Oreochromis niloticus: one gene and its partner. The protein of the gene in region 2 purifies or fractionates together with the protein of the main gene of each other region. This does not show direct contact. Links are inferred from orthologs where the notes say so. Each region holds a gene or a part of one and is shown on either strand. Other genes may lie near its edges. The genes, in order: tbl1x and hdac5.

What was found.
Region 1: the proteins of hdac5 (region 2) and tbl1x purify together in Homo sapiens (affinity purification with mass spectrometry; 3 studies listed by BioGRID and IntAct, with this or other methods). This does not show direct contact. The link is inferred for Oreochromis niloticus from reciprocal best matches to the Homo sapiens genes HDAC5 and TBL1X.

Annotation. Positions count from the first base shown.
Region 1 is NC_031987.2:18,249,509-18,265,069, forward strand, and holds the start of tbl1x (F-box-like/WD repeat-containing protein TBL1X), read right to left. Parts: upstream 7,151-15,561; 5' UTR 6,741-7,150; intron 1-6,740. UniProt on the Homo sapiens protein: F-box-like protein involved in the recruitment of the ubiquitin/19S proteasome complex to nuclear receptor-regulated transcription units. Plays an essential role in transcription activation mediated by nuclear receptors.
Region 2 is NC_031969.2:4,474,009-4,490,039, reverse strand, and holds the start of hdac5 (histone deacetylase 5), read right to left. Parts: upstream 8,467-16,031; 5' UTR 4,934-8,466; coding exon 4,777-4,933; intron 1-4,776. UniProt on the Homo sapiens protein: Responsible for the deacetylation of lysine residues on the N-terminal part of the core histones (H2A, H2B, H3 and H4).

The DNA of each region.
Region 1 (15,561 bases), on a different chromosome or scaffold from region 2:
GACATTACGCAAATGCGGCCATTGTCTACACCACTGACAGGAACTGAAAGTATTACATCTCTATGGGAGTGTACAGTATGTCTTAACAAGCTTTTGCATAAACACTATTTCACTACCCAAAAAAAAAGTAACCATTATAGTGTTTGTGTATTTATTCAATAGTAATGAAGAATCCTTAACAAGTTCGTAGTCATTTCAGAGGCCTCTGCAAGGCATTTCTTTTTCTTCATCAAAATGAGGATAGCACAAATGAGCTGTAAACACCGAGACACACCAGTGTGGGCAATACAAGTGTTGCTATGGTGACCAAAGGCTCTTGCTTCTCTGTCAACAGCTGCTCATGCCACCCTAAATACCCCCACTCTCCTTGAGCTTTCCTTCCATCTGACATCAGGGTCAAGCAAACAAGGCAGGCAAGCGTGCTGAAAAACTGATCTTCATTCTAAGCCATCTCACGGCTGCTTCTTTAGCCAGCATTTACACCGTGTAACACTAACACCAACACACCAAAGATTTCCCTTTGTCTGTGTCCTCCACACAGCATCTTCCATGCTGAACAACTGACTGCACACGAGCAATAAAAGTTTGGGACATTTTAGGGTTTCCTCTTGCAACCGCATGAGTATATGGGTCATGAAAATACACACAATTATAGACAATCACAGAATACTACTACCACATTTTACAGAAGTACATTCATTTTTGCTTCTTGGCCAAAACTATGAAAATGTGTTATTGCGATATCCTGTTCCAATTTTAAGGATAAATGAAGAAAACAAAAAACAAAACACTGTTATTGCTGTGTAATAAAAACTGATCTTAAATACTGCTGCATATACATCCAGCTGCTGCATGATGCACTTAGCCTCACCTCAGCTCTATTCTCTATTTTTTTGAATGCCTTTATTAAAGCTTTCACTCTGTGTGCATTTAAATGTCAGAGTTGCATGCATTAACTTTCTGCCTTCTACCATCTGTAGTTTTTGCTTCTTTGTTTCTCTACATGTCCTCTCTCATTGTGTCTTTCTGCAGGTATCTCTGGACTCACACGCTCCTGGTCTTCAGATACAAGCCTTCTGAGCTCAGCGTTTGTTGTTTCCCTGTGGTCTTCTTTTCTATCTTTGCTTTCACTTCTAGTGTCAAGCTCGATGCTCGCCTTCTCTTTTGAAAGGAGCCTTTTTTCCCCCTCCATCCCCGCTGTTACCACATGCTTGCTCAAAGAGAATCATTGGGTTTCTCTCTATGATATTGCAATGCCATAAAAATGGCACTGGTGTGATGCTTGAGCCATACTGCCTGCCTTAATCTCTGCATACAGCTACCTCACTGAACAGCTGTTGTCTACAAAGACAGTGCTGCTGTTGCAGCGCCACTATTGCCAGCCCACAGAGAGAGCAAGAGAGAGGCTACCAAAAAATTACTACCTTTCACCTTAATGCAGGCTTTCCACCATTGTGGTACACAGCTGACAGCCCACCTGGCACAAGCACCTACATACCACCTCCACAAATAAAATGGAAATCACTTATTATGAGGTGGATGTTGGCTAGTTGAATGAACTAACCTACATGAGGCTGTCAACAAGTAGTCTAAATTAGATTTTATTGATTATATAATCCAACTGTAAAATCATAAAATACATACAAATAAAAATTATTCTTTGGAAAAACAAACACTGTTGTGCCATTTGTCTTATCTTGCAAGCTACACAGAATATAATGCAGAGTTTCTACCAGTAAAGTTGTTATACCCAGCAGCTGGGAACAGGACAGTTAATGTAGAAATATTTACCCACAACGTTGCACAGTGGCAGAGTGGGAACAGCAGAGCTGCTTCAGACTTCAGACACACAGCTGCCGGTGCAAGGAAATACAGGGAGCGAACAATTAAGCCTACCACAATAAGGTAAACAATGTGTTAAGTCACAACATTTCCCTGATTATTTTCATTTAGTTTTTCAAACTTCTTTATAGCTCTTCTAACTACTTCAGGCTAAATTCAGTCAACAGGATCCTTACATTTTGCACTACACCAGCAGACAACCTAAAAGCATGGACAGAAGTTACAGCTTGTCACTTTCAGTAACTGAAAATGAAATGTAAGTCCAGGGTTTGACAAGAGTGAATAATTCAGTAACAACCGTGTGGTTTTTGATGGCAGGGAGTTCACAGCTGAGCTCAAGTGTGATTTGCACTCAAATCAATCTAAAAATAAACAACTTTAAATAAAATAACTATGTAAGACATGATGTCTCATTGTAGTGGTATGCCTGCTTGCAGACATGCTGCAGATACGTCTAATATGCAATAACGGTTTGAACCTGAGTGGATTTTGGTAAAGGAATAAAGAAATGTCTTTTTTGGCCAATTCTAACAGCCCTAACATCATCCAGTCCTTCTGAGAACTGTGGAATTTCAGTGTTACTGACATAACCCAAGCATGCATACATACACTGCAGGGTTTCCACCAGCATACTGCAAACGCAGAAGCCCAAGCAACTGCAAAGTTTGAATTACAGCCTTCCAAGTGACTGGAATTATAAAGAGATTTTAAAAAACAAACAAACAAAAAACATATAGATGTTGACTTTTGAAATAAATAAAATATAATTCAGAAACGCCTGTGAATCCATCATAACCAGAGGATTCTCTCACATGTCAAGAGGTAAATTGCAATATTCAATTAATATTTAAGCCCAGTCTCCAAAAGGTGCACAAGTCTTTGTTAATTGATGTAGCAAGGAGTGGCTAAGATGATGATGACATACTTTGCATGCATAACTACACTGATTGCTACACAAAAGGTAAGATAAGCTTACGTGGCTGACTCGGATGAAGATTAAGACTTAAGCAAAAACACAATATGACCTTCAGTGAAGAACTTTCCCACTCTGGCAAGAATGTGCTTGCACAACTTCCCGAAAAGTCATCCACCAACTATTTCTTCATTCATCCTTCTAAGACGTTACAAAAAAACAAGAAAATAAAATCAAGCAAGTCACACTTAAGAAATGTGATCATCTGCCTACACTTGAAAAGCACTAAACATTAATACTTAAATGTTTAACAGATGCCTAAAGGGATGTGTACTTGCTCTACTTGTATTCTAAGTAGGGACAGAGGGAAGGCACCATAGGCCGTAGCTCACACAATGATAAACAGCACCACCCTAACACCAAATGATATCCAAATAAATAACTACAGCCTTCAACTAGTCAGTACTTGTATGGCAGTTATTTTAGAGTAACCACCAGTGCGCCAGTTGGCTGGTCACCACTGAACACTGCATGTCTCTTTTGAAGGGAGAGAATGGCCCACCTTCCCCCATGGTCTATCATAAATAAATACTGCTACAGAAATATTTGGACAGCCCAGTGAAGAGATTTGCAGCACCACAAGGCTGACACACAGGACTTCCTTGCCCTACTTATGAAGAGGGAATACATTTCTGTTTTTAATACAGTCTCATTGCACTGTGGATCTGATGTTTTCTTATAGTAGTTAGATATAGAAAGTAAAAAAAATAAATAAAGACAAGCCATTATATAATTGAACTATTTCATAGACTGCAGGCCATGAGGTGTTTTTTTCCTTTTAAACACAAGACCAGGTATTGCATGGAAGCTAAAGAGAACACCTTTCATCTCAAATCCTGTCACGAAGCAGGCTAACAATGTTATTTGGCTATGCCCCCTGAGGATTCAGTACAAATGGTAATTGTGTACATTTATTGAAACGGCAAATAAAAAGACAGTTTAATTCCTTCTTTTCTTAGTGGATTTAAGTGTATAAAGTATGAGTAATGATACAGAGTATTAAATCTAATGCTGAGCTAAACATTAGAGATTAACAGGCAAAACATTGACACTAAATCCTGGTGTTCTTTTACCAGGTGGCACTGAAGCTGTTTTTGTAACTACTGTAATTAGAGTTCAACACAACTTGTACAACAAAGGACGCATTTTCACCGCACAGTCCGCAGTCTAGATTAGGTTATGGAGAAATTATTTTACATAGCGTGAATGTTCTTATTAAATTTGGCTGAAGTAGCTTTTTAATTCAGTCTCAATAAACTCACGGACAATCTCAGCAACAGCTTGCAAGTTTATTTACTTGAAGTCCAGCATTTGGGGTGTTCTGAATTCACTTTGTTGCTATTGCTCATCTCTCTTCCTGCGCTGACTCAGTGACCCCAATTCTAAAGCAGTAAATCACATTAAACTGCAGCAAGACTTGAATCTCCTACATGTTCGCTGTTGTTGCAATGTTGCCTACCCCTTACTTTATATTGAGTCATCACAGTTGTCTTCTGCATTTCCACCAACTACTGGACTGAAATGAAGCAGCTGGTTGCAAAAACTGTTTAAGACACTCGTCACACCAGATCTTTAGAAGAAAATACACCACAGGAAAGTCCATTTAAACAGCTCAATCTAAAAGAATATCCTGCATGAATGCTGTGCTGTATTATTTCCCCGGTGAAAAACTACACACCGGTCATACATGAGAACTTTTCTTTTTCCCTTACTCTTTGTAAGTGACCACCCCATTACATAAACAATTAATGATAATCTGGCATTACTATCCAGTGTGCACACACACCATATGTATGGTAAATTTGCAAGGTAAACTACTGAGCACATAAAATAAACTATTCACAGTACAGGCTGGAAATGAGATTATAAGTGTTCGTTGTAGACGTGCCCCTCCTTATAAATTAGGTCATCAACGAGGATTGTGAAGCTGCTAAACTGTAGCCTCAAAAAAAGTCTAGTCTTGTCAAAAAAAGAAAGACGACGAAAAAAAAAAAAAAAGACTTCTTCATGTGAACTGTGCCTCGAATTTCACAGTACCTTGGAAAAACCATAGAAATGGAAACTGCTAGAAAAGGAAGGAAAGCATTTTAAAGGACCTGGGTGTTCAGCAAATTCAAATTCATAAAAAAATGTCTCCACGTACAAGTAGACAGTCCTGCTGCTATAAATAAAAAAAGAAAATCTGCACAAACTCCTTGGTTTGAAGGAAAAAAAAAAAATCACTGGATGACACTAATACCAACTGTGAAGTATGGTGGAGGTAGTATTATGGATTGGGACTGTATTGTTACTTCAGAGGCCACGATTAAGGCCCAACTGTGACATTTACTCTTACTGCTAGCAGTTCAAAAAGTGATAAACAAAACTGAGTTAAGCTTATTGGTTTAGCCTTCCATAACAGTTCTAGTTTCTCATGTGGCCCCTTGGGAAAATTAATTGGCCACCCCCGCCTTACAGTGCTCGAAGACACAATGAAACTGACACAGTAATAAGAAAATTTACAAGAGAATGGCATGATTGAGATCAATGACCTCAAGCTTAGGTGAGGTTGGGTGATGACACAAGATAATCACCCAAAGCCAAAAAAACAAAAACAAAAAAAAAACGGAAGAAAATTCCTGTTGTAGGGTGGCTGTGTTGGAGTCCTGCCCTAAAGGGAACTGACATGCTGTGGCATGGCTGTTCAGCAAAAAAAAATCCCAGAAAATATGTAACTCGTACTGTAATCAAATAACATTCAAATACAGCCACTAGGTCAACAAGAAATGGGAGCATCACATTGACATTACTTATGTGGGCCACTGATGTAGAATCAGGTTACAAGAGAATTTAAATAGCAGGGGTTTTAGCCAGTCCTGGCATCTGAATCTTTTTTATATCTTGCTTTAATAGCAACAATAACATTTTTTTTCTCTTCTGGGTGAACCGGTACAAAAGCATGACTGGTCCACATGTAGTTTAGGCATAGAGCCTATCCTCTTAATTAAAAGAATTCAATGTCTATCCTTGTTTTTAATTATTTGGATATATTCAACTGGGAGAAGGCCAAAACTTGGAATAACCTGGATTAAGATACACTTTGATTCTCTTAAGACAGACAAGACTGTTGAAGCTGTATCCCATCATTCGAGGCACTATTTAGAGTCTTAAAAGGCAGGTCAAACCACATTTCTCAATCTCTCATTTCTCTCCAAATGTAGTCTGTGCTTGTTGAGTGTTATGTAGACATGCATTATCACAATTTATATTCCTTCCTACACAGCAGAGTTTCTCTAAAAGCGTCTGCCTGTGCTGTGCTGCATGGTAGAAGGTCATAAGCTTAACAGTAACAATTTAAAACTGGAGTTATACAAGAGCATGAACTGGCCCTTGAAACTGGTGGCACTGTCTAGTACAGTTGAATTTCTCTCCCCTCCCCCACACATGCGCTTCCTAAGTCTGCATGGCAATATAAATATGTATCATTCATGCTTTAGCTCAAACAAAATGATCTAAAGTGCAGCTTAATGTGCTTTGACTTCTGTAGCACATTTCCAAAGTAGACAAACTAATCAGTCACCACAATGGGACAACCTTGAACCTCTAAAACTTAAGTCGATTTACTAAAAGTAGTCCACAGGTCGGCTACATAAGGTTAAACATGGGTATGTTTCTTTAAGAAAAACAACAATGTAGCAGAAAAGTAGGCTGTTTGAAAAATCATGAACAAAAGAGGCTAAATTAAAAGGCGCAAACAGGAATTTCAACACACGTGTGGAGTCAATGGGTGACTAAGCTTTGTGCCGGCAAGTATCCTCCTAATCAACGCCGTAATCACCAATTTCTCAAAGTCATTATCCTCTTCGCTTTTAACCCACACAAACACACAAGCAGCCTGAATGCAGTGCTGCCCAAAGCAGTGCCACTCGACCTTTCCTTAGCTTACCTTTTATTGTGAGTGAACTCGTGGTGTCCGCCGCCACCTCTTCCTTCTTCTTCCACAAGGAGAACCTCCAACTTCAGCGAGCTAGCTACGACTTTCCTCCCATTTTGATTACCGTCACATTTCAAGTTCCGACCGCGGGTGTGTGTGTGTGTGTGTGTGTGTGTGTGTGACTCACTGCCGGCTAAATTTGCTGTGCTAACAAAGCGTGTTCACCCAGACACGCACACGCGCGCGCGCACGCACACACACACGCACAACTGGCGGTAAAGTTGGAATAAACCCGAGTTTCTGTGGCTGAGGCTGCAGGCTACTCTCTGTAGAGTTTCACCCTCACCGTTCACTGAGAACAGGAGCAGAAAGAGACAGCAGCGAGCGCTAAACGGCAGAGAGAGAGAGACGTACACACAGAATAGGAGAGAGAGCGCGCGCAGGGGGGGGCGGGGGGTTGAAGGCTAAACTGTCTTTAATAAACCTGACTAATATAAACACGATCCATTCTGGGGTTAATAATCCAGGGACTGTTTTATCTCATTTGTATCTGATTGGCCTAATTAGCCAAATCAGGAGCCAAAGTGTCAATTTGTTAACACCTTATGGAAAATATAAAGATACACGTGCTGTCTGGAACCTATGTGTGCCATTAACGCGTAACTACTGTACGCTTTGTATATTTGCACACGTGTGGATTCAGCAGACCGTCTTAAATTTGACCCCCCACCCCTCCCCAAATATAGATTAGGCGGTATAATTAATACCATTAAAACATGGCTCTCGAGCTTAAGTGCACTATGATATCTTGTTTCGGTTTAAGGACAGTGCGCTGAGACTACAGTGTAGCATGTTGTTGCCTATCTGGCCTCTCGGAGGCTCTTCCCATCCCCCCACACACCGCTATTTTTCGCCTGCCTGGTCACACAGCGGTTGATTAATTCTCCTTTCGCCTTGCTCAGTCATTCAGATTTGGAAAGTAAATAACAAGTTGACATCAGTGTGACACATTCCTTTGGTTACCGTATGTATAGCAATATTTGCGCATCACATATTCCATACAAACGCTACAACTGCTCCAGCCTCAGCCGAAATGGTGGTGTATTACGTGCTTTTAGTTGGTTGGCCTGCAAGCGTACACGTGCACTTTGATATACTGAGAGATCGATAGGTTAGAGAGAGAGGTCTGATGGCCTCATGATGCAGTTTAGTGCAAAATAACCTTTTACATATACAACAGTGATAAAAAAATAAATAAATAAAAATAAAATAAAAATAAAAATAAGACTGGCGGTGTACAAAAGTTTGGTGCAAATGACACTAATAAATATTATGTACACTATATCTCTAAGAAACAGCAACAAGAAGGTCTGATATTGAAATGCGTGTGGGGTCTTGGCAGGTGTGTTCACCTGTCACGAAGATGGGAGCTGTTGTACAGTTTCACAGAGAACAGTAGGAATGATATTCTGAAGTGTCCTTTATGGCAGCGAGGTTGAATAAGTCTGAGAGAGAATAAGCTCTGCTGCCTCTGTAGTATAGAATGGAGCGGGTGCAGTGGGGGGTCCACGATGGAGAGCAGTTTGCTGGCATCTCTGGCACTAATGCAAGCCCTCAGCAGATAACAGCAAAGTAAATGATCATACTATCACCGATCTCCATTATCACACACGCCAACATGTTAAAGGATCTTAGCTTCCTCGCAAAGTAGATTCTGCATTCATATCATGTACTTTGTTCTTTGTGCAGGAAAAAAAGCTCAATCCCCAGTAATGCTTAATTTCTACCAATGTCCCAACTTAAACAGATTAATTCAGTGAACATATTATTACATATTCTATGTCTGAAGAAGCAGCTACTTTTGGCCATTCCATTATTCACAAGGATTCACCACAGCAGGTACCTCCACATGTTTTATTTGGAAGTTTTTACACTGACCCTCCCTCCAAAGGACTTTGTATCTGCTCCCAGAATCAAACTGGTGATCACTGCACTGTGGAACCACTTACATATACAATGTCTAAAAAAAGCTGTAATTACTGTGACAGATGTATGACTAAAACTAACATCCCAGCCTGGGACAATCAATCAGTCCACAGAAGACAAGGCTATGTGTGGCATCAGCTATGCCTTTAGTGCCGTAAACCTTTCTGTGTGATACCAACACAACTTACACAATACATGAGATAGCATTTATGGGCATGTCAGTTATCCATTTAATCAGGGTCATGGCTGAGGCTGCTTATTGTCTACAGACAATGTGTGCTACACATGAAAAGATATATCCACAAATTTTTTACTTCTATACTGAAGAGACCAAAACCAACAACTAGTCTGTCTCAGTGATTCTATCCTGTTTGCGCCTCAAGCCCTTTTCATTCCAGCTGTGAATACATGCTCTAAATGCAAATCCGTACAGTTTGTATGTCTTTACATGTTTTGGTTATTATTTGATTACAAAGTTATTTTTGGACCTTAAAAACATTGCGATCTTGTGAGTATTTGTGGCCCCTGGAGGATCTATGTGGGATTGACCTCAAATAAACTACACAACCCATGTTTATTGTAATGAAGGAACATGTCAGCCACTGTAATGGTTTGGCTCATTGATTTCTTATTGATTGACTAACAGTAGAGGTCTGGAGGCTTAGAATGCACAGACAGCACCAGTGGTACAAAATCATTAATGGTTTTGATGTTTTTTCTATGGAATGTGGTGACAGCGAGACGCATATACAGAGTTCCGCCAGCTCTCCATTTCCTGCATGTAATATTTAACCTTTTGTCAAATGTCAGTGCATCTTATGGTTTTGACTACCACAAGAGATTGTTGTCATGCTCTTCTTGTTTTTTCCTGTGTACTCTTTTAGAACATAATTATCACAAGAAACAGAGACGGTTACGTTTATTAATGCTTACTAGCTGTTACACTTTAAAAAAAAGACAGTGATAACAAACACACACAGTTCCGGAGGACGTGTAAATGTCCGTCTGATATGCATCTTGTGGGACTATGCTGTACCAAGAGTTCCGTCTGATTAGCTGATTAGTTATTTAGAGCAATACATATCTGATACAAGCTCTGCCAAATAAAAAAGTCAGGGCCTTTAATACCAGTAAGGTTTTAGTAAGATTTCAGTGAGGAAGGGAGGGACGTGATTTCCAGAAAGTGAAAAATTTGAAATTTGCCCCATTCATACACTCTCCTTGGGTATATTGCATAGCAAAGGTCCCTGAGATGATGTGGTTACTTTAAGTACTGATATTATTGCTCTCTGAAAAGCCCTGCAAGGGGCACTGAAAATTATTTTCTGTGATGTGGTACGCTGTGGGAGTTGCAGTTTCACTATGGGTGATTTGCAAGGTACAAAAGTCTCACACTGACTGAACAATATTTTATTATAGAAGTGAAGTGGAAGACTGGAACTTACATGTTTAAATTCAGCATTTCTCCTTTAAAGTGGTTACGCACAATGCAATTTCAAGTGTTTATCTCACCCTATAAGGATGCTTTGAATTTGTGTCTCATAAGCAGTTCTGCAGTGTTTGCACTTAGTAATTCTTGAAGTCATGGCTTTTGTCAGATTGAAAGTCAGATATACAAAATGAGTAAATAACGGTTAAACAGTTGTAGGCCTGCGTTCGGGGAAGCCTTATTGCCTGCCAAATGAATCATGAAACTCTACAAGCAAATCAATTCAACTTTATAACATACAAGTTGACATCGAGGTGAATCACCTCAGACAACTTTCCGAAAACAGCACTTGTGACTGGGCTTTAGTATTTGACAGTACAGTGTTTCACCGTAATGTAGTGTAGCTCTATGGAGTTTGAAAGATGCACACTAAGCAGTAAACTAAAAGCTTTGTTTTGTAGATAACTTTTCAGTTAAACATTGCACTACAGACTCTGTTGTACTGCATCTGACCCCACCACCTGGATTTGCCATCATTCAAGAATAAGACCCTCATCTTATTCTTGCATTCCTTCACTTAATACATCTACTCCACCTCGACCCTATGGAACATTCCTCTTTTTTTCCCCCACAAACAACTATCCCTTGAGATTTTGTGCCGATCCTTAAACCAGCATCGTCACACTGCTCCAAACTGCCTGAAGCTACAGTCTGATGAAGCTAGAAGGGCAAATTTCTCTGTAAATTGTAGAAAAATTCGGATGAATTTCTGTGCATATTGTAGCATGAAGGGATACAATGCCCCCATATTTGTTTTTTTGCAGCTTACTTATATAACCAAATCCTCCCTTACCCTCTTTAATTGTTTAGTAGCCTATCTCTTCCAACTTATGTGATTTCATTGTTTATTTGTTATATAAAAGCACTATTAAAAATATAAGACTCCTGTCATAAAAACAGTTCATTCTATTAAATCTTTAAACCACTGGAGCTGCTTTTAACAAGCACATCTTAGTACTTACAACTATGTTGCCTTGTGTACGTGTTCTCCTCTGTACAAATGGTCAAACACGCTTCTCAGTAGCTTCACTGCCTTTTGCCCCTTGCACCTCTTTTACATGGTTTATGGTAGGAGCGTTTCCTGCCATAGAGCTGGGGCTGACCTCCTAACAAAGAACAGGTTCAATCTGCCTCCCCTCCCCCAACGCAGGAAGCTGATGAGGGTCACATGACCTTTCTAGACAGCACTGAGGAGCAATGGTAATATGTAAGGGTGGGGGAAGGGAGCAGCTAGTCACACCAGTCTTGTGTTGTTATTAGGCTGGAGAAGTGTGGGGAAAGCCTAGTCGGTTGCAGGGGAATATCCAGTCGAGTATCTATTTCTCATCGTGCTCTGGTGTCTATTTACATACTGGATTTAGTTCCCTAAACCCTGCTGCTTTATTCACACTATAAAAGGAACACGAGCATTGGACCCAGTCTGGAAGAACAAGCTCCCTTATTTATGATTTTTATGTCTATATGTTGATGAATAGACAAACGTACAAGCTTGGGGAATTCAATAGTAGCAAAACAAAAGAAAACAAACAACAACAAAAAACCTTGTGTATGTGAATACACTGTAATACACCTCCTCCTCCTCCTCCACTATCTCCCTCCCCTCCCCCAACCATCCACACCAGCTAGAGAGAAGGCTTTTTGTGGTGCACTGTTATGTCATAACCTACAGACCTATTTTTCAGACAAAGCAAAACAGACTGCGGGAACAAACATCTCTATTTGCAGCTGAAACACTTTGGTTTCACTTAAGAAAAACAGATGTAACAGTTGACAGAGCGGAGGAGCTCCGATCAGCCATTCCGTTTGAGAGCTGCTCCAAACACGCTGCTTAAATATGCCACTTACTCACTCAGCCGTAATAAATTTCACAAGAAAAACTGACTGTTTAAAAAAGAGAAATATTTGTGTTACTTTGGGAAGCCACATTCCTACACTCCTCAAAAATGAATTCGGAGGGGGGGGCAGAGAAGGCGGGAAAGCAGACAGATATCAGAGATTCATGGATAGAGGACAAAGGTCAAGGGTTGCTGACCTGCAACCAACAGACTTGCCTTGCCTTTCCTCCCCCACTAGCACGATAGCAGTCAATGGCTTTACAACGTTTTGTTCTTACAGTGGCATTTAAGTCTTTTTAAAAGAAATTCCCCCTTAAGCGCCTCAGACCATAATGGTTATGTTGTACCTCAGATTTAATCTAGTTTCACATTTTAGACATGCTAAAGTCTAAATTGTAATAAAACCCATATATATATATATATGTATATATATTACATTACATAAAAATTATACAGTCACACACACACAAGACACAACTACAGTCTTAAGTCTGAGACTTAGAATTAAGAGAACCATTTGTTCTCTTAACTGCCATTGCAGCTATTTGTGCGTTCTATGTTTACATGATATATCAGCTTCTTTAAGGCCACTGATGAGATGACCTGGCACTATGAACACAGTATGCTTAAGGTATAAATATTCTTGTAAATATGTCCCCAGTATACACAGTTTGATATTAAAACACAGCTTTATAATTTATAGCAAATTTATATAGCGGGGGGACACTGGCTATTGATCATGGACCCTTTGGGGTCCTGAGACCTCCATTTGAGAACCACTGAGCTGGACTACTTTTTTGTGTTTGTTATGTTAACCAACTAAAAATGTCAATACCTAAAATATATTGTTACGTTATTTGATTAACCATGCTTTTTCTTGTTTTATTTATCCCCCTCCTGCTTTTTATCATTACTATTTAAGTGGACACCACGGTAGAAAGCCCAACATATATCTGATCTCTTGCCAGGAGGTTCTCAGATGAGCTGTGTCTATCTATCCACTGTATTGTTAGCTTAGAAGCTTGTGGATGGGGATGTCTGCTGTGTAGTGTTTTCCTGGTTTCAGCCTCTTGCTTTGTCATGGCAACATAATGGCGTGTAATGAGCTACCACTCGCTTAGACACCCAATACAGCATTGTGACTTGTCATGCTACATAATTACTCTTCTGACCCGCGGATTTCAGAGATGATGGCTGGATATGCCTGTCGCAGTTGTCTCTGCAGTTGCTGTCGCCTCTTGTGATGATCTGCGCGAGACGAAGAGCAATTTAGAGAGTGATTGAATTGTATTTCAGACAGGAAAGGGTTCCACACGTCACGATAAAAGTCATTCATGTGAAGCTGATATGCAAAATCATAACTGAATGCATCCCTAGCACCTCTCTACCAAATTAGGTTATAAAACTTTGATAAATCCTGTAGCATTTTGCGATAGTTGGGTACAAAAAAAGGAGAAGCATTTAAACGTTTTTGCGTGTGTGCATACATGCATGTGTGACACAGACACAGAAAGATTACATTGAGTTTTGAAAATGTGTCCTATTTTTCATCATATCTGATAATTGTTTGCTTCAGACAAGAGAACAAAATCCCCCCTGATAAATTCTCCATTGTTGGATATTAAGGCTGGATCATCTCCTGGAAAATATTGTGAGAAAAAGAGAGAGAGGTTGGGCGGGGGAGTGGAGGAGAGAGAGAGGTCTCAAAGGCCTGTCTAGACCTCAAAACTTGCCTGTGGTAACATTGCCATCTAGTGGTACAAAAAAAAACCGTCCCACAAATCACAGATATTGAGACGTCCCTGTTTGGTTAACATGGGTTAAACACACAGGTTTCCTGACTGTGTCCTCCTTATGTCCTCTTAGTCTATTTATTGTATCCAGTCTGAAAATAAACACCACCCTATTCGGTGCGGTTATTATCATCCAACCTGCTAACAGCCGCAGAGGGATGTTCAGCTGTCAGTCAACCATCACTGTCTAAACTGAGACCAAAATGTAACTTCAGCTCTGTGTGGGTGGTTTATATGTGAATAACAGTTTTTGCTGGACTATCACCCCCGAGTGATTGCACAATGCTGCATTGTTTTGGGATGTGGCGAAAGAAGGAAAATATATCATGTGGACTTGTGTTCAGAAGTCCTGCACGCCAAGTAGGTTTTTCCAACCTCATATACAAGACAAATATTTTCACTGGGAATGTTAGAAAGTCTTGTGAACACACCAATGAATAGACTTGATATTATGAACAGACAAAAGGGTGGCTGTAAGGCCAATGGGTGTATTTGTTTTTTATCAATGAGACGGGCTATTTTTATTACTTTAAAAACACAACCATTCACTCGTGATTCATCAGAAAGAATGTCTTTGTGCATGTGTATCATGGGGAGATACTTGGGGCCAGAGACAATGCGTAGATTTCACGTCCAAATTATGAATTAATATTCGCCCCTTTTTTTTAATCTGCAAGAAGAAAACATGACATGACCTCTTTTGCATGTCATATCAGTATTTGGTGAAGAAGGAATGAAATAATTCACATTCCTTTAATGCTGGGTAACCAGCTGCAGTTATCACAAGTAATATGACAGATCCTGAATTAATATACAGTGTGATAGTGATATTGTGCTGTGCTAACATCTTATTTGGCTTGTTACAAGAAAGGAGAAAGGTGAATGAATATCCAAGTAGATTGTTAAGAGGTGTTTTTCTCTCCTCTGCTGCTTCTAGATTTATGATTTCTTTGCTTGACTTTGTAATGAAAGATTTTTTTTAATCAAAGGCTAGGTGAGTTTTGCAGATAATAGCTCTTGCACTGATGTCATTGTTGTAGCTTGCTCTTACAGATAGCCAGTGTCTTTTTGATGAAATGTGGCAGCTGGTTTCCCTGGAGACTTGCTATCAGTTAGAAATTTGATTTATATTCATTTAAAGCAGATTAATCAGAAATCATATTAACTGGGAAACAAATGCAGACTCAGTATCAGCTAATATTACATAATCAAACTCCTCTATTATTCTGTCTATTATGTTTCATATGCTCATTTATTCCGTGTGCCCTTTTTAACATACATCGCAATACATTGAGCGTTCCCCTGATTAACAATGCTTTTAGATGATCAAGGACAATTTACTGTTTAATCACAAGCACCCAGGCAACACTGATTCAAATGCATGCCGACATCTACAGCATTACTCCACTTCCATGTTCAAATGCTCCCTTAAGCTTAACTAATCTCCATCTCTTTTGTTTGCTAGTGATCACAACAAAAGCCGGTGGTCCCCTCTGATCCGAGTGCCTCCCCACCACCACCATCAAAAGCGTGAACCCTGAGTTCACCTGCCCCTTTACTCATCAAAGATAGGCGGATGTGTTTGATCGTCGTGCACCTTCTTTGTCAGTGAGTTTGCAGGCTGAAAACTGACACCGGTGTGTTGTCTTCTGAGATGTTTTTCTGAGCTCATGTTACAGAAACCCTCATTTTTCTTTTTTTTTTCCCCTCTTTGCTTCGAGACTGCACCC
Region 2 (16,031 bases):
GGCTCTGATTTCACTGATCGGAGATCAGGTACTATCTGTGGTTGCATGGAAACAGAGCTAGCATTAGTAATTTAGCAAGAATTCAGAATTTTCCATGTCCTCTTTATTAAAACAACAAGTTGAAGTGGCTAATCAATGCGCCACAAATTGCAGTATAATTAATGGATAAGGACCAAGAAAACAAATGCAATGATTGTTAGCTTCAATCGTCCAACGCTACGTCCATAAACGCAAGTCTGTACACTGTGTGCATCCGTCCATCACACAAGGACGCACTGAAATCACCAACACAAGAGATTCCGTTTGGCCAAAGATACTTCAGGAAAATTGTCAACCTACTAGATAAAAAGATTAATTAAGAGAAAAGTAGAACAATGTAAACAGGTTTGGAGATTGGCCTATAATGTCTACGTCAGCTGGGTCAAGTGATGGCTTTTTAAGTAAAGGTTTAATTACTGCCACCTTAAAGGCGTGTGGTACACAGGCCAGTAATAGAGATAGAGACTGATTATATTTAAAATTGAAGCATTAATTAATGGTGGGACTTCATTAAGCACTTTTGTAGGAATGGAATCTAACAGATGATGATTTGGAGGAAAACAATTACTGAAGTTAACTCGGAAAAATGAATCAGAGAGAAAGAGTCTATCAGTACTACTGAAAGTATCTGCCTGTAAGGTGGTTTTGAATATTTTTTGAATATTTAATATTTTATTTGTGAGGAAATGAATGAAGTCTACTAGTTCAGGTCAAAGGAATGCTTGGCTCCGACTCTTTGTCAGCCTGGCTGCAGTGCTACAGTCCTACAATCTAGTAACTGGGAAATTCCCACTACTGCCTCTGACAGGAATACCTCATGTGGCTGCTTTAAAGCAACTGTGATCCAGTCAGTATCCAGACAGAGTCAAAGATGCTTTACTAAGTGTTGGCCAAGATTTGTCACTGCAAATATTTTGAAAATGGCATGATGTATCCCATCAGGGATGTGGAGTTTGAAGTCCAATTTGGATGACTTTACACTCCTTCTCTGGTTCTATCACTCATTTTTCACACTGGTGCTGCTTCTGCTGCTTCTGCTGGGAGGTATTTCTGGAAACCAATATTTTTCTTTTCTCCTGCTTTCTTTCTCCCTGTCTTGTTCACTCTGCATTGCTAAAAGAAAATAGGCACTATGACGTCAGCCCTGCAAAACACTCTAAAAAAAGCCATGAGACAGAGAGACAGAGCAAGAGAAAGAAAAGGCAGAGGAAGAGGGAGAGTGAGGTAAAAATAGTATAATGGCTGTGTGTACTTTAGACAAATTAGAAGCTTAGAGAGAGGGAGAGGAGTCACATGTGTGGTGTTGCTATAGAGACTGATGGGTGGGTTAAGCATTATGGGATGGCAGACTGTAGGTCATCCACAGTGGATCTTGTCTGTTGTGTTACACTGGGTTGAAAGTACTTGAGAACATCTGGTACAATTAATTGTGCCACAGAATATACGTAGCTTTAAAGATGCACTAAATTATGTTTTTATATTTCAAGTTCAGGGTTCAGTGGTCACGTACAATGTAAAGGGAACCAGTAACAGTAACGAAACCTCAAAGAATTATCACCCCCATGAAGCAGGCCTCCTCAGCGTTTAACACTGTATATTTCGTCATTGTGTTTTTACACTCTATAGCTTTCAGTTGAGTCTCACGGTTGTGATCTTGCTTGGTCATTTTAGCATCAGACAACAGTTTACAGTACAAAAAGCTCTCATTGAATGCTTACAGTTAAGCAGATGGACAAGTTGAGAAAGTATCGGATGAACAAAGCAGAGCACATTTCCTACAACTGGCGGTGGAGACCAAAACAGACAGTGGTGGATATAAACATGACTGTACAGATGCGTCCACACAGACTAGCAGTGATTATAGTGTGGTGAACGTCAATGAATTTAAGCTACTTACAAAGCCAAAATAACCTTTAATGACACATAGTGGGCAGGGACTAATTTAAACTTTCAACTTTGAGACAAGGGATTGGATCAACTACCAATAGGAGAAAAGGATACTGCTGACGGGTGGTAAATACATTACAGGGTTATCTATACAACAGGAGCCTGTAACATCCACTTGCAGCAATAGGTGACAGCAAGCTCTTACTTAGGTATAGAATGTCATACAAAGTTCATTATTTTCCACAATTTATAAAGGTGAACTTCTACTTTGAGGTTACATAAAGTTCCAGCCTACTAGAGCAAGAGATACACGACAGTTCTCTTGCTCTAGTAGAATACAAACAACCACAATCAAGGGAAAACTGCCGACTTGACAGTTGTTCAGATAACAGTCACTGATGCTTGCAACAATGAGAGAAAGCCACATTAGGTCATTGCTGAAAAGGCTGGATACACAGGATTCACAGAGTGCTGTGTGAAAGTATGGAAAGTTTACTGGAAGGGAAAAGTGTGAAAGGAAAAGATCCACAGGGAGCCTGAATTACTGCAGTCTTGAGACGATGGTCAAGAAAAGTTGATTCTAAACTTAGGATGGACTGAGGCTGTTGCCAGTGCATCGAGAACCACTGTGCACAGACGTCTTCAGGAAAAGACGCTACATCTGTCACTTTCCTAAGATTAACCCACTACTGAACCAAAGACTTGAGAAATGTCTTACCTGTTCATCAGTGGCCCAAAGTCTTTTCAGATGAAAGTAAATGTTGCATTGCATTTAGAAATCAAGGCTCAAGAACGTAAAGGAAGATATCCCAGATATTCCAATATCCCAGTGTTTTAAGTGCAGTGTGAAGGCTCCACAGTCTCTGTGATGCCATATCACTTCATGCTTTAATCTGCAGACGAGCTTTATGGAGATGTTTCTTTTTCTAGGTATTAGCACTTGTCCACAGTGCAAAATGAAACTGGCCAACGAACTCACCTGACCTGAACCTTACAGAGAATCTCTGGAGTACTGTCTAGATGAAAATGACAAACTCCCAAACTCGAAAATCCAGAAAAGCCAAAGGCCACTATCAAAGAAACCTCAATAACAGCTTTGCAATGCCACAACTACAATGCACTGACGCAGTAATCCACAGTAAAGGAGTAACGGAGTAAAGACATGGGTGTACAGACAAACATATTTTTGAACATTTGGGCCATTTGTGTGTTGTAATATATCTCTCGAAATATTCTAATAATCAGAGAGGCTGGCTTTGATTATACGCTATAATCAAAATTCAAACAAAAGAAGACTCGATATATTTCAGGGTACAAGTGAGATCAAAGTTCATATGTTAAGTTCTTTTTCGTGACATTCTCTTCTTTGAGAAGCCTAAGATGTGTGAATGGTTCACCAGTTATAATGATATAAACAAACAGGTGTGTTGATCTGGGAGTTGTTTTTATTTTGCAATCTACGAGGAAATTCATTACTTCATTTAAAGGAATTTTGGGCCCCTACATATCTAAATCTAACAAATCTTAAGCTACTTCATTAACAGCATTTTCAATCTCTGCAAGTCTTTAATTCTGAACACACACACACACACACACACACACACACACACACACACACACACACACACACACACTCACACACACACACACACTCACACACACACACACTCACACAGCCAACATTGTAACTGCAGCCAAACAAAGATTAGAGTCAATATACATCCTCTTTGTTCCAGCCTGCTGTCATCAAGCTACATTTCAACACTGCTTTACCTCATTTTGGCACCATTGTTTGGCCAGTTCTACTCTAACTAAACCTCAGAAAATCCATTTTATCACCCATGTTTCCTACTAGTGTACATTTGTGTTTGGCATTATAGGAGTAGCCAAAAATAAATAATTAAAACACTGACAATTTCCTAAAGATCACCAAAGGATTCCCAAAGCTAACTTTAAATCTACAGAATGAGACGGAATGACAGAAAGTGTGTCCAGACTGAGATAGCTAAAAAGAAACCATCTGCATAAACTACAAAAATACTCAGACCCTTTGCAAGAGATGAAGAGAGAGTGGTCGGGGCTTTCTGCCCTTCTTCTCTTAGAAACATGAAGAAGAGCGAGAGCTACTCTTTTGCTTTAAGAGTGAAATATTCTTCTTACAAAGAAGACTGAATCTCATCTGTCTTTGACCTTCTGTCAGGCTCGTCAACTGCACTTTATTTCTAAAAATCTGATTCCTTTTTTCTTTTTGTTTTAACATAAAATGTAGAGCTTACTCTTTCAATGTAAAAAGAGAGACTTTTACACATATTTTGATTTTTAAAAAAAGAGAGTTGAAAGTTCCAATTGTGAGAAAATGTCTAACTGTAGTGCGGGGATAAACTATGGAACCAGGATATTTTGTGAGGTTGGCTATCTTTTGTGTTGTAGCACTGATGCCTAGCACAGGAAACCTGCACACAGTTATTCTAATTAAATCTATGATTTCTAAACACATGCATCAATATTTATCCTCAATGTGTTTGCTCGAGAAGACGATACAGACGAGATGTTGGAAGTCACGTTGAATCTAAAAATATGTGTATGATGTATCTGTAGAGTGCACAGTTTGACGCAAACTGTGGACACCGAGCACTTATGGTACTCAGGTACCATCGTTTCCTCAGCGAGCTGCGAGTGCTGCTGTTCCAGCTGACAAACTTCAACACAAATACCACACAGGCGTTCCTTATGAGAGAAAACGTCAAATTATTCATCAGTTTTAATCAAACCTCCAGTACACCGCAGCACCCCACCCCTCCCTCCCACCTTCCCTCTCCCCCCACCCCTACTTTCCCATAGATGACTCACCAGCGGTGGGCATGGCAGCGCTGGAGCCCCTGTTGCCGCTCAGGAGCTCCAGAGGCTGATGGTGGCTGTCTGTGTTGCTGGAGGAAAAACAGGACTCAGTCTCATAGATGGTCTGCAACATGGCGCACAATCCTGACACGGTGGGATGCAACAGCATGCCAAGGCGAGAGCCGGCGCTTTATTTTGTTAAACCAGTCACTTCTTCATCCGAGACGCAGGCATGCCGTAGACCCATACAGTTAAACTAAAAACTTCAAAACTAACTTCTGCGGGAAACGGCCGCGAATTACAAGAAAAGAAAATAATCGAACACCTCTGTGCTTTTCTTGTGTAATCCAGTCTCCATCGGACTCCTGGAGCTTCTGCCGTCTCTGACTGCTCGGCTCGAGTTGTGATGACGAGCGGGCGACACTTTGAGCAAACTCCTCCTTTCTAATATCGTCGTCTCGGCTGCAGCCCACAGAAAGCCTCCCCTCGGCTGGGCTTTGCAGATCAATCAAAATGTCAACAGCCAAAGGAGACCACCTGAAAAGTGTCTGTGTAGTCTTTTGGTTTATTTCACTGTATCTACATCACCTGGAGTCCTGATCCACGGAGAAACACAGTGCTGGCTCCAGTGCTGTTGGGATGTGTAGCAGATGGAAGGAAAAGAAAGTTTGTTTCATCCATTCAGCTGCGAGGGAAAATCCAGTCACCCACAGGCTGTGAGAGCGAGGAGCGACCGACGAGAGGAGCTCCTGCAGCCTCGTCAACACAATAAAAATACAGACAGAGGAGCAGCCGAATTCCCCAGCTCTGTGTGCATCAAAGAATCCTCACGCTGTTCTCCTCCTGGCTGACGAGAGGGAGGAGGAAGAGAAGGAAGAGGAGGAGAGCAAGGAGGAGGAGAGGCAAGGACGTAAATAGCTTTGGGAGAGCGCTCCCCGAGGTTCCATGTTTCCAAAATTAGAACGAAGCACTGAGAGAATGACAGAGAGAGAAGGAAATGGAAGAACGCTGGGATGGCGAGTTTTTAGTCCTCACTGAGAAAATGGGCAGCAGGAGAGGAGATGGTACGCTATCCTCTTATCACAGGACAGAGGACAGAGGATAGTGGAGCTCCACACAGCGACCACAAACAGCTGCTGGTCAGACGGCTAATATTCACTGACTGAGAGTCACTGATGACTGTGTGTGTGTGAGAAACGCTCACTGAGCTACTGAATGAACGTCGACAGAGAGACAGGAGACAGAGGGAGGAGGGTGACCGAGAGAGAGGCTGAAAGTAGATCACTGGGTGGAAAGGAAGTTAGATGGATACAGAGAAAAGTCAACAACAGCTCATTTTACTTCATAGAAGGGAGAGGGAGCAAGGACACGAGAAGAGAAGAGAAGAGAAGAGAAGAGAAGAGAAGAGAAGAGAAGAGAAGAGAAGAGAAGAGAAGCATTTACAAACACAGGCGATTGGGGTGGGGGAACGGTGCTGAAAATAGCCTGCCAGGGTAGAGGAGGAGCTAGAGATAAAAATAGACAGAGAGAGGGGAGAGAAGGAGAGAAGGAGGGAGCAGTAAGCCTGCAGCTCTGGGGTGGGGATGGGAGGGTGGCGGTGGGTGCTTTCATGTTTCTGTGCTGTGCTTGCCAAATACTGTATGTCAATCAAAGAGTGTGGGTGGGCACTGTGGACCTCTTCTCGCTCTGCTAGGTCCACGACCCCCCTTTTTTTTGGGTGCACAAATTGTGGCCATGCAGGTGTTTATGTTAACTAGCGGCGGGCACTGGGGGATGGCACAGTCAGTGTAAGATTGCAGTGTGATATCAGCTCCAGGCATCCACAGTGCCAAGAGGATAAAGCCTACTCATCTGCTGAATGGTCATTTAGTGCCACCAGCTGGCCAAAGTCTCCACCTGACCAATAAAATATGTCAACATTCAGCCAAAGGATTGGCCAACATTCATATCTCCCAGAGGAGGAATCCTGATAACTGTTCCATTTAGTACCACCATCAGGTTGGTGCTGCAAATGGTTCTGCAGCTTTAAGCTGTACTTGCTGTTAAATTGCATTAACAATATTGTTAATCATTGTTTTTGTGAGGCTTCATTCACTTAACCCTTAAACAAGTTTTTATTGAAAAGAAAAGTTGAAGCCTTTAAGACACTTGTTTGAATTAGCTATAACAGTGTTTTACCAGTGGTTGTATTAAGATGTTATTATTTGATGGCTACTTAACTTTTCCTATTCACTACCACCATTTCTTTAAGAGCATCTGCCACTTGCCAGGCTGCCAATACGTCTGTGGTCTTAAGGACTTGCTGGGTTAAACAAAGAGTACACAGCCTCACTTGCACCACCTTGTGGTTAAAAGCTGGTAGTGAAAGTACAGCCCAGATCTAGTTAGGCTTCCGTTAAAATCTCTTAAACACAATACAAAGATGCTTTGGACACAAACTCACAACAGGTTTTTCACATTTTGTTGAAAGATGTCATTTTCAAAATGGAATTTAAATTAAGTATAACTACAAGACTGTGCATAAGTCTTAAGTCACCTCTGATTTCTTCCCATTTTGCTTCCAGTGAGCCAGACCTTTTTTTTTTCTTATATTCTGATCCTGAGCAGTCGTTCTCCAGGCTTCAGAAGATCTGTCAAAATTTTTCTTCTATTCTTTCCGACATTTTTCAGTCCCGTCCTGACTGGACCGTTTTCAGAGAAGTGCTTTTTTGTTAGACTATTTAACACTGACCTATTCAATTATACTGGACCATTCAAGCATGTCTACACATATAGACACAACTGATCAAAGACATCATCTTAGATAGTATCTTTAGGTAGTCTAAAGCCACTGTTTAGTATTACACATTACAAATGAAACAAGGAAAATCTCTTCATGTTTTGTGTGTCTGAAAGAAAAAAGGACGTCAGCCTATCTATGGGAATATCAGGTATTTAAATTGTGTCATGATGGGGTTTTTAAAAAAAAGACTGGACAAGAAACAGTCTTCTACATCACTTTGCGCAAACACCTCACTTCCAATAGAAAAATGTCAGAGAGAATCCTGCAAAGACTTCTTTGTAACTAGAAGCTACACGGCTCACTTTGCTGTCAGCGTGGATATTATTCATTGAAACTGCTCTTTATAGTATTTGTTTGTTCCATTCAGCATTCAGTCATAACAGAAGCTACACATTAAGAATAGGTTTTGGTCCTTGTAACAAAATATAATGGGGTGTCTCTGCTGCTGGCAAATGCAGAGTGCAAGGATTAGAAAAACAAAAGAGGAGAACAAACCGAGCTCTGTGTAATCAGTGATAATACATTTAACAGACGAACAAATCCAGCAGACCAGCTCAGGACTCGTCTAATTCATGTATTTGTCTGCTTTTCATCTCTGCGTTGACCACTGTCGCTGCTGTTTCCTTTCCAGAAATGTTTCTTTGAATCATTTTATCATCACTTCTATCCCACCTCCTCCTCATCACCTTCATCTCCCTCATCATCCTCACCTCCTGTGTAAACAGCTCCCTGTGTCCTCCAGCAGATCTAAGGCTGCCTCAGTATGACTCACAAGTAAAGACTATATACACAGCAAAGGGAGAAAATGTAAATACAGAAAGTTAATTTGAAGTGTCCTGTCTTGTTGCACACCGAACAGGCTGCTGTGTTGCTGCTCTGTTATCCAACACTATGATTATTTATTAAAGACTTGTGCTGTTACCTTAAAATCAGCCTTTCGTGTGTTTATGGTAGCAAGTGAAAGGGACGCGACTGTCCAGGCAACATGTCTGACATCTCAGTGGTCTAACATACCAAACACATCTACTAAAGGTGAGTGTGTGTGTGTGTGTGTGTGTGTGTGTGTTTGTGTGTACTGCAGCAGCTTGGCGGATGACTCATCTCTGCGTTTCTATTTGAGGCGCATCAACCCCTGGAGTCACACTGCTGTCTGTGCGTGCTCGTGTGCGCGTGTATCTACTACATCTGTATCCATGACAACCAAATTACAGCCAGTCAGTCACCCCATCACTCGTCCCAAGACAAAGCTGTCAAAAAAGCCGTGGGAAGGACGCACAGGTACATACTACTCACACATATACAAACACGAACGAAGTTAACCAATGCGATCCAGCACATGGAGCAAAGCAGGAGTCAGAGCTGTCGTTACATTCACTGTGAATGAAAAATGTCTCCCTCACCTGACTAACACCATCAGTAGCAAATATCAAGCATTTTTTAAAATCATGAGGACTGTCGGCAACTCGATTTAAAGACTCCAACCTGGTCCACTCAGATTTCTGACATAAGTCATGTGTCCCAGCATTTAGTGCCCTTAAACATACGCCTACCAGTGATGATGTAAAACGAGGATGACTCACAAGTGTTCAAAAACTTATTACTTTCGTTAAAGCACATGTCTGCAACGACAGCCAGAGACTTGTAATATATTAATATATGCTTTTCTTTCCCAGCATGCTAGCAGCTTGACATAGGAATAGCAATGATGGTCAGTTCTCCACATGTGCAATTACCACCATTTACTACCTTTAGTCTATAGTGCAGAGGATGAATTCTATCACGTGTGCTGACCCCCTCACCTTTCCTCTCGTACCACCATGACACTGGCATTTTTGCTGCCATTCAAATTATATGCATTAACCTCTTGAGCCCCAAGGGGTTTTCTGAGCTTCCTGCTGGAAAATGCAATGCCTCAATTAAATTGATTATTTCTCTGCAATTACAAACTCCGTCCTTACAATCTTTGTATCAAAATGAAGCCAACACTTGGGACATTTAATCAGAGGTGTAAATATTAAAGCGGATATTACTGTGTCAAAGTTACTGAGACTGGAACACAGAAAAAGGAAGTAGATTTTATTCTCGCCTAATTTTTTTCTTCTTTTGCGGCTAATTCAGTGAATTTTGGTCCGATCGTGGTCAAACTTCGTGTGTTTACGCAGTGATAGCCCTGGAAGCTAGCCAGCCTATTTATAACCGGTTACATGAAGACTGTCTGGTTCTCGTTTGCGTGTTTAGCGGACTTCTGCGCATTACGTAACTGCTCGTTTAATCGCGGCTTGTTTGCGGTGTGTTTGGTGGTTGTAGAAATGGTTTATATGACATTGTAGCTGAGATTCTGAGGTTTCTGTGGATACCACACATGTCTGGAGTTATATTTCTCAACCGGCGTTATAACCGATTAAACGTGATCTCCTCCCTTTTGCCCCCGGTACCGGGGGCGTGGGGCTTATTAATAAATCCTTCTGCATGCTCTGGTGTCATTGTCAAGGCTGAGTTTTCATTTTTGTTTATAGTCGAGATGAGCAATGAATGAAAAATGAAATGAGCATGTGTGTATAAAATAATCAATCAATAACTGTAAACTGTTCAATAATCAAGGTTTTGATTTGAGGCCCTACACTGAAGTTACACTCCACTAGCTAAACAAATTAAGCAAGCACATTTCAAGAAAATGACTTTTCATCCTTTCAAAGATCATCTCTCACCCCAAACTACTCTCACTTGACTGCACATGCTCAATTTAGCATGTTTTGTACAATGTAATGATTTAAATGCTGTGGTCGCCTTTGGATTTGCAGCTTGCTCCGGTGACCGTACCATCAGATCCTCATTCAGTTTTGATTTCTTTCATAATGTGCAAAACTAAGATGGTAAAGAACCAAATATCAGCTCTGAGTTAACAAATAGCACTAGTGTTGTTTGTGCATCGTTAGAACAATGCTATTACAATACAACTTATAATCATCTGTCCACGGATTAGTCCCATACTTTCCCCGGTACAACAGCTGCACCATAACTCATCAACTGTTAAGCTTTACTTTTTTTTAAAAAAGCGGCGTGCACTTTAACTGCCATCAGCGCTCGAGTCAACCATGTAATTGTGCCACTTTTAGTAATACAGTCTCTGGCAGGATGACAGGTGTGTGCAAAATGTGTTTTTGTTCCATTAGATGTCTCAAAAAAGCAGATAAGAATAACTTATACACACTTTATACTTAATATAAAGTATACTGAATAGAGAACAAAATACTGCTGACCTGGCCAAGAATGACACCCCATCCCCAAAACACCATCATTAATCCCAATGAGGATCATCTTGTGTCATCACCAGTGTCGAGGGTCATCATTTGTTCCACTTCCGACCCTCTTTTATCAATATTTCAATCCATTCAACTTTTCATTAATGCTTTATTTGTCTTTTCTTTTTTCCTTTTTATTCTCAGTATAATTATTAATATCCAGCAGTAGTAGAACAAGAAAGTAGTAGTAGTGTAGTTATTACTATTGTTGTTATTATCATTATCATTAAACTTAAGTTGTTATTATTATTTATTGCTGTCTTACGTAGCAACACAACACAATGCATTTACATACATGTAACTGACGATCATGTAACATGTAACTCATGTAATAATGGATTGGATTTCATATAGCGCTTTTCAAGGCACCCAAAGCGCTTTACAATGTCACTACTCATTCACTCTCACATTCACACACTGGTGGAGGCACGCTACTGTACTGTACTAGCTACTGTAATGAAAGACTGACACCGATGCTAGCCACCAAATGCACAGACTGAGCTACAAGCTGTGTTTTAACACAGCTGTTAAGGTTCCCTAACAGTTATGTATTCACTTTTATTAAATGACAACCAAATAAAATATTTACATTCATTTTACTCAGAGGAGCATGCACTTTCAGGAAACTTGTTCATTAAAGTAGCAACATTAGCATGTTAGCAAAAATAGCTTCAAATGGAACTAATTAATATCTTAGGTGATCTTTACCATTGCTTAGTATTCATGCAATGAATGTGAATGATGATTATATGATTTACACTGACCGAGCAGGTTCTATAAGCAGGGCGAGGTGTCGATTGACTCCAGAGGGTTTGTGCAGCTCAGAAAGAAAAAGGCTAACTGAGCAAAATCGTTCTTTCTGAAAAGTATTTTACGATTTCCTGTAGAAAACGATCAGGTTGACGTGTTCTGATCTGTGTGGATGATAATAATCATCACAATATCTGTGTAACAAAGGCAAAAACCAACATGATGTAATTATACACTATACTGTGACATGTGCATATTATCACCGTTATACTAAACGAGGATGGGAGCACCCCTCCTAGGTCTGTTTTGCTGGTGTAAACACAGTATTGTTTTGTATGTTTAACACACACAGTATATTGTTGTGCAGATGGATGAAACACAGTGTAACACTCTGTAACTGGATCTAGCTTGCTCCTTATGCTAATGCAACAGCCAGTATACAAATCAGTAAAAGTAACTGTTCAAGATGTACCTACAAACATGCTGCCCAGTATGGCACAAGCTCTCAAACCAACACAGCTCTATAAAATAAGCTCAAGTCTTGCAGGGCTGTCAGTTCTGACCTGGCCAAATCTAAATTTTGACCTGACTTGAGAAAACACGGTAGATAAAGCACAGAGCGAGCTGCAGAGGTCTTTGCGCAGACACTTTGTCTGGAGTAAGTCAGGAGTAAGTCACACACACTTAGCACTGTCAGGCAGCTGGAGTAAAGCTACCTACAGTATGATGACATGACTGCTTTTGATACTGACAGCTTAGATGAGCCAAACATCTGCTAGAAAGTGCTGCTGAAGCATCGAGCCTTTTAGTCGTACTCACAGTGTTTACACAGCACTCAGCACCTTATTGAGCCAGCGCTCAGTATAATTGACCTGAGCTCAAAGCGCAACAACAAAATCACACTGCACAGTAACCCAACCACAAGAACAAGGCCAAAGTTTGCATTGCTCATATGGATTTATCAGGGAGCTTAGAACTTTGACACATTAAACACAGACACTGTATGAAAAAATGAATCCAACATTAGCAATAAGAACATTCACCAGTCCAAACTGGGCAGTTTTACGCTTCCAGGATTCAGGACCAATGATGTTAACTATTTACATATCATGCTGTTTGAAGAAGACTTACCTGAGGGGTGTGATGAATTCATGAAGGCTGAACCTGGACTTCTTTCCCCTGCCCTTCCACTGTGTGTGTGTACGTGTGTGTGTGGGTTATAGCGGGTCCTCTGAGTCGGCCATGTGTAGAAGGACAGACGGATGATTCAGACCTTCTTCTCGACGTCTTTCTGCAAAAGACAAAATTGCCTTTCTTCAGCATTCACACTCAAAACAACCGACACCTCAACCAAACAGCTACAGCCCAGTCACAGCGTAGCAGACGAACTGGGACTGCAGGTTGATTTGATCCTGCTCGACAGTTAACTGCAAAGATTACCATGCTTAATGTCTCTCTTGGCTTCTGTTCTTCTGTCTCCCAGAGCTCAAGTCAGAGCAACAGTATAGTTGGAGTTCTTTATTTCACTACTTTTCACAGATGTGTCCAAAAGCCTGAGAACGCCTGTGAAGATGTTTCTATTGGCACACGTCAATAAAATATTTCATTAAAAACAATGATGCCAGCTTAAACATTTTAGTGTTGAGTTAAATCTCTGAAATCTCCCTATTTGACAGCCTTTTATAGCACTTGCTCACATCCAATAATCCAGCTACTTATACAGACTCTGTCTTATTCTTACAAACGCTAGCAATATATGTAGTAATAAAATCTTCAGTTTTATGACAGATTCTCCCGTCACCTCTATGCACTTTTGCCAAATATAAGGCCTGGGGGCCACAATTGGCCCAGCAAAGACTCCAATCTGGACCGCTGGAAGGCTTAGGACACTATGAACCATCGCATATACTTTGAACTTTTAGCTGAACTGTCACAAGTTCTATAGGTTTTCCTGCTGATAAAGAGTCCATCCATTCATACTACACCAAACTCACAGAAAAACAATTAAATCACACAAGACTTTTTGCACTATCTACTACAGAAATGTCTGCTTTTATTATAGTGGGTCCACATTTTTTTAAATGCAAAAAAAAAAAAGCAGTGAATTAACAAAACTTTATAAATTTTCTGTCTTTTTGCACATTTATCATGTAAAGAAACTGAGACGTGCAGTTGAAATCCCACTTTGTTTGTCTTATATTAAAACATTGCAGGGATTAAATGCTCAGTTACGTTTCTCTACACTGACAGAAAAGGCTGTTTCATTGGTCCTGCAGTCTGTGGCCCACAATATAAAACTAGTTTCACATCCCTGCTCTAGATATGACAATAACATCACAAAGAATCATGAAGTACAATCTGATATGATGACATCCACACTGGCTATATGTCAAACTGTGTTCTGATCGAGAATAATGAGCACATTTGTTTTATTATTTCAAACACAGAGAAAACCCGAGGCTCACTGATGCTGCTTGATCCTCTGGCTCCACCTACTGGTTTTGTACTGAAAAAGGATTTATGGAAAACATACTGACACCCTAAATAGTTCCCAATAAAGTGTGTAATAGGTGTGTGTGTCTAAGTGTTGCAGCTAAGTCCCTGGCTACTTAGCTGTAATGTGATTTAAAGTAATGCATTTATCTTCCATTCCCTACACCTCCTCCATTCTTTTTGTGTCACTCAAACCACACACACACTCATTTGTTCTTGGACACATCACACACACACCGACACAGAGCAGCCGTGGCGGCAGCTGTGTGAGGACTGCTGGCTCTCAGCCCAAACACTGATAGCAGTCGATTAATGCTTTTAACTGATGGAGGGGGACATCTCAGCGTGGGCGGATTCTTCATCGCTGTCATAATGTCACGTACATCCAACATTTACTCGCCTGTAGCTGCAGCTGAATCGGCTCAAAATAAACCTTTTTAACACATGTAGTCAACTAACCTGTTTGTACATTATAATGGCTTTGAATGGTCGAAGTACACTGGACTGCTTTTCAGATGCAGGTAAAAACAAGCCTACGTGTGAGTGCCTACATATGCCCACAAATTCAATTTAATTCCTTTATATAGCACCAAGTCACAGCAACAGTCGCCTCAAGGTGCTTTATATTGTAAAGACCCTACAATATTACAGAGAAAAGCCCAACAACAAGCAAGCACTTGGAGACAGTGAAAAGGAAAAACTCCCCTTTTAACAAGAAGAAAAACTCGAGCACAACCAGGCTGCATCTGAGCTCATGTGATCTCAGACGGGGTCGGACCTGGGTAGTACTTGGAATTAGAGACTGGCTGGGAATACACATAAAGCTGGAATAATTGGTGGCCCAGCGGAGCACTGGCTTTCAATGTCGCCTCACAACAACAAGGTTCTTAAAAGCCTGTTTTTATTTGGAGTCAGGAGACAGATACCTTCTCTACTTTTAAGATTAGACTTGAAACCACGCATTTAATCATTAGTTACTATTAATGTCTGCCTCTCTTCCACAGCATGTCTTCATCCTGTCTTCCTAAAAGGGAGTTTTTCTTTCCCACAGTCACCACAGTGCTTGATCACAGGGGGTCATTTGATTGTTGGGGTTTTCTCTGTTTTCTTGTATTATTGTTGTTGTGATTTGGCACCATATAACTAAAACTGAATTAATTGAACTGGTAAATGGTAAATAGTAAATGGACTGGTTCTTATACAGCGCTTTGAAGCTGTTTGCCAGCACTTTTCACACTCTCCCTGTGTCTGCATGGGCTCTTTCCAGGTTCCTCCCACAGTCCAAAGACATGCCTGTTAAGTTAAAAGCTGATGCTAAACTGGTCATAGTTTCTGCCTCTCTGCATTAGCCCTGATAGTAGGACTGGGCGATATGACCCAAAATTCATATCTCGATATTTTTTTAGCTGGATGGCGATATACGATATATATCTCGATATTTTTTTTAAAGCCATAAAGTAAGAACAAAAAGAGAGTTCTTAGTCAAAGCTGTGTCCCAGATGTCACACAGGCACTTTTATTAACATACAGCGTAGATGTACAAAACTACTCAAAAATAAATTATGAGTATTTATTAAATAATGATGCTCCATAAATAAAAGAAAACAATGTTGTTTTTGTGCATAACAAAGAGCTCACAATTGTGCAGTCAAAATGTAAACTAACAGACACTGAGCATAATAACATAGACAGATTTCACAGCTGCTCTGTTCCCAACTTCTACTGCATGACTGACAGCCTGGAGTTTGAAATCCGCTTCGTAACCATGTCTCTGAACAGGTGCCATTTATGGTCCTTATACACACACAATACGGTAATATTACGTTGACGCACAGTACGTATTACTCCGCGAGGCTCCTCGGTAGCCGTAATGCTCCGACAATCCATCAAGCGGTGCAGCTCCGTAGCTTACCAAAGTCGTACTAAAACATTTATTGACG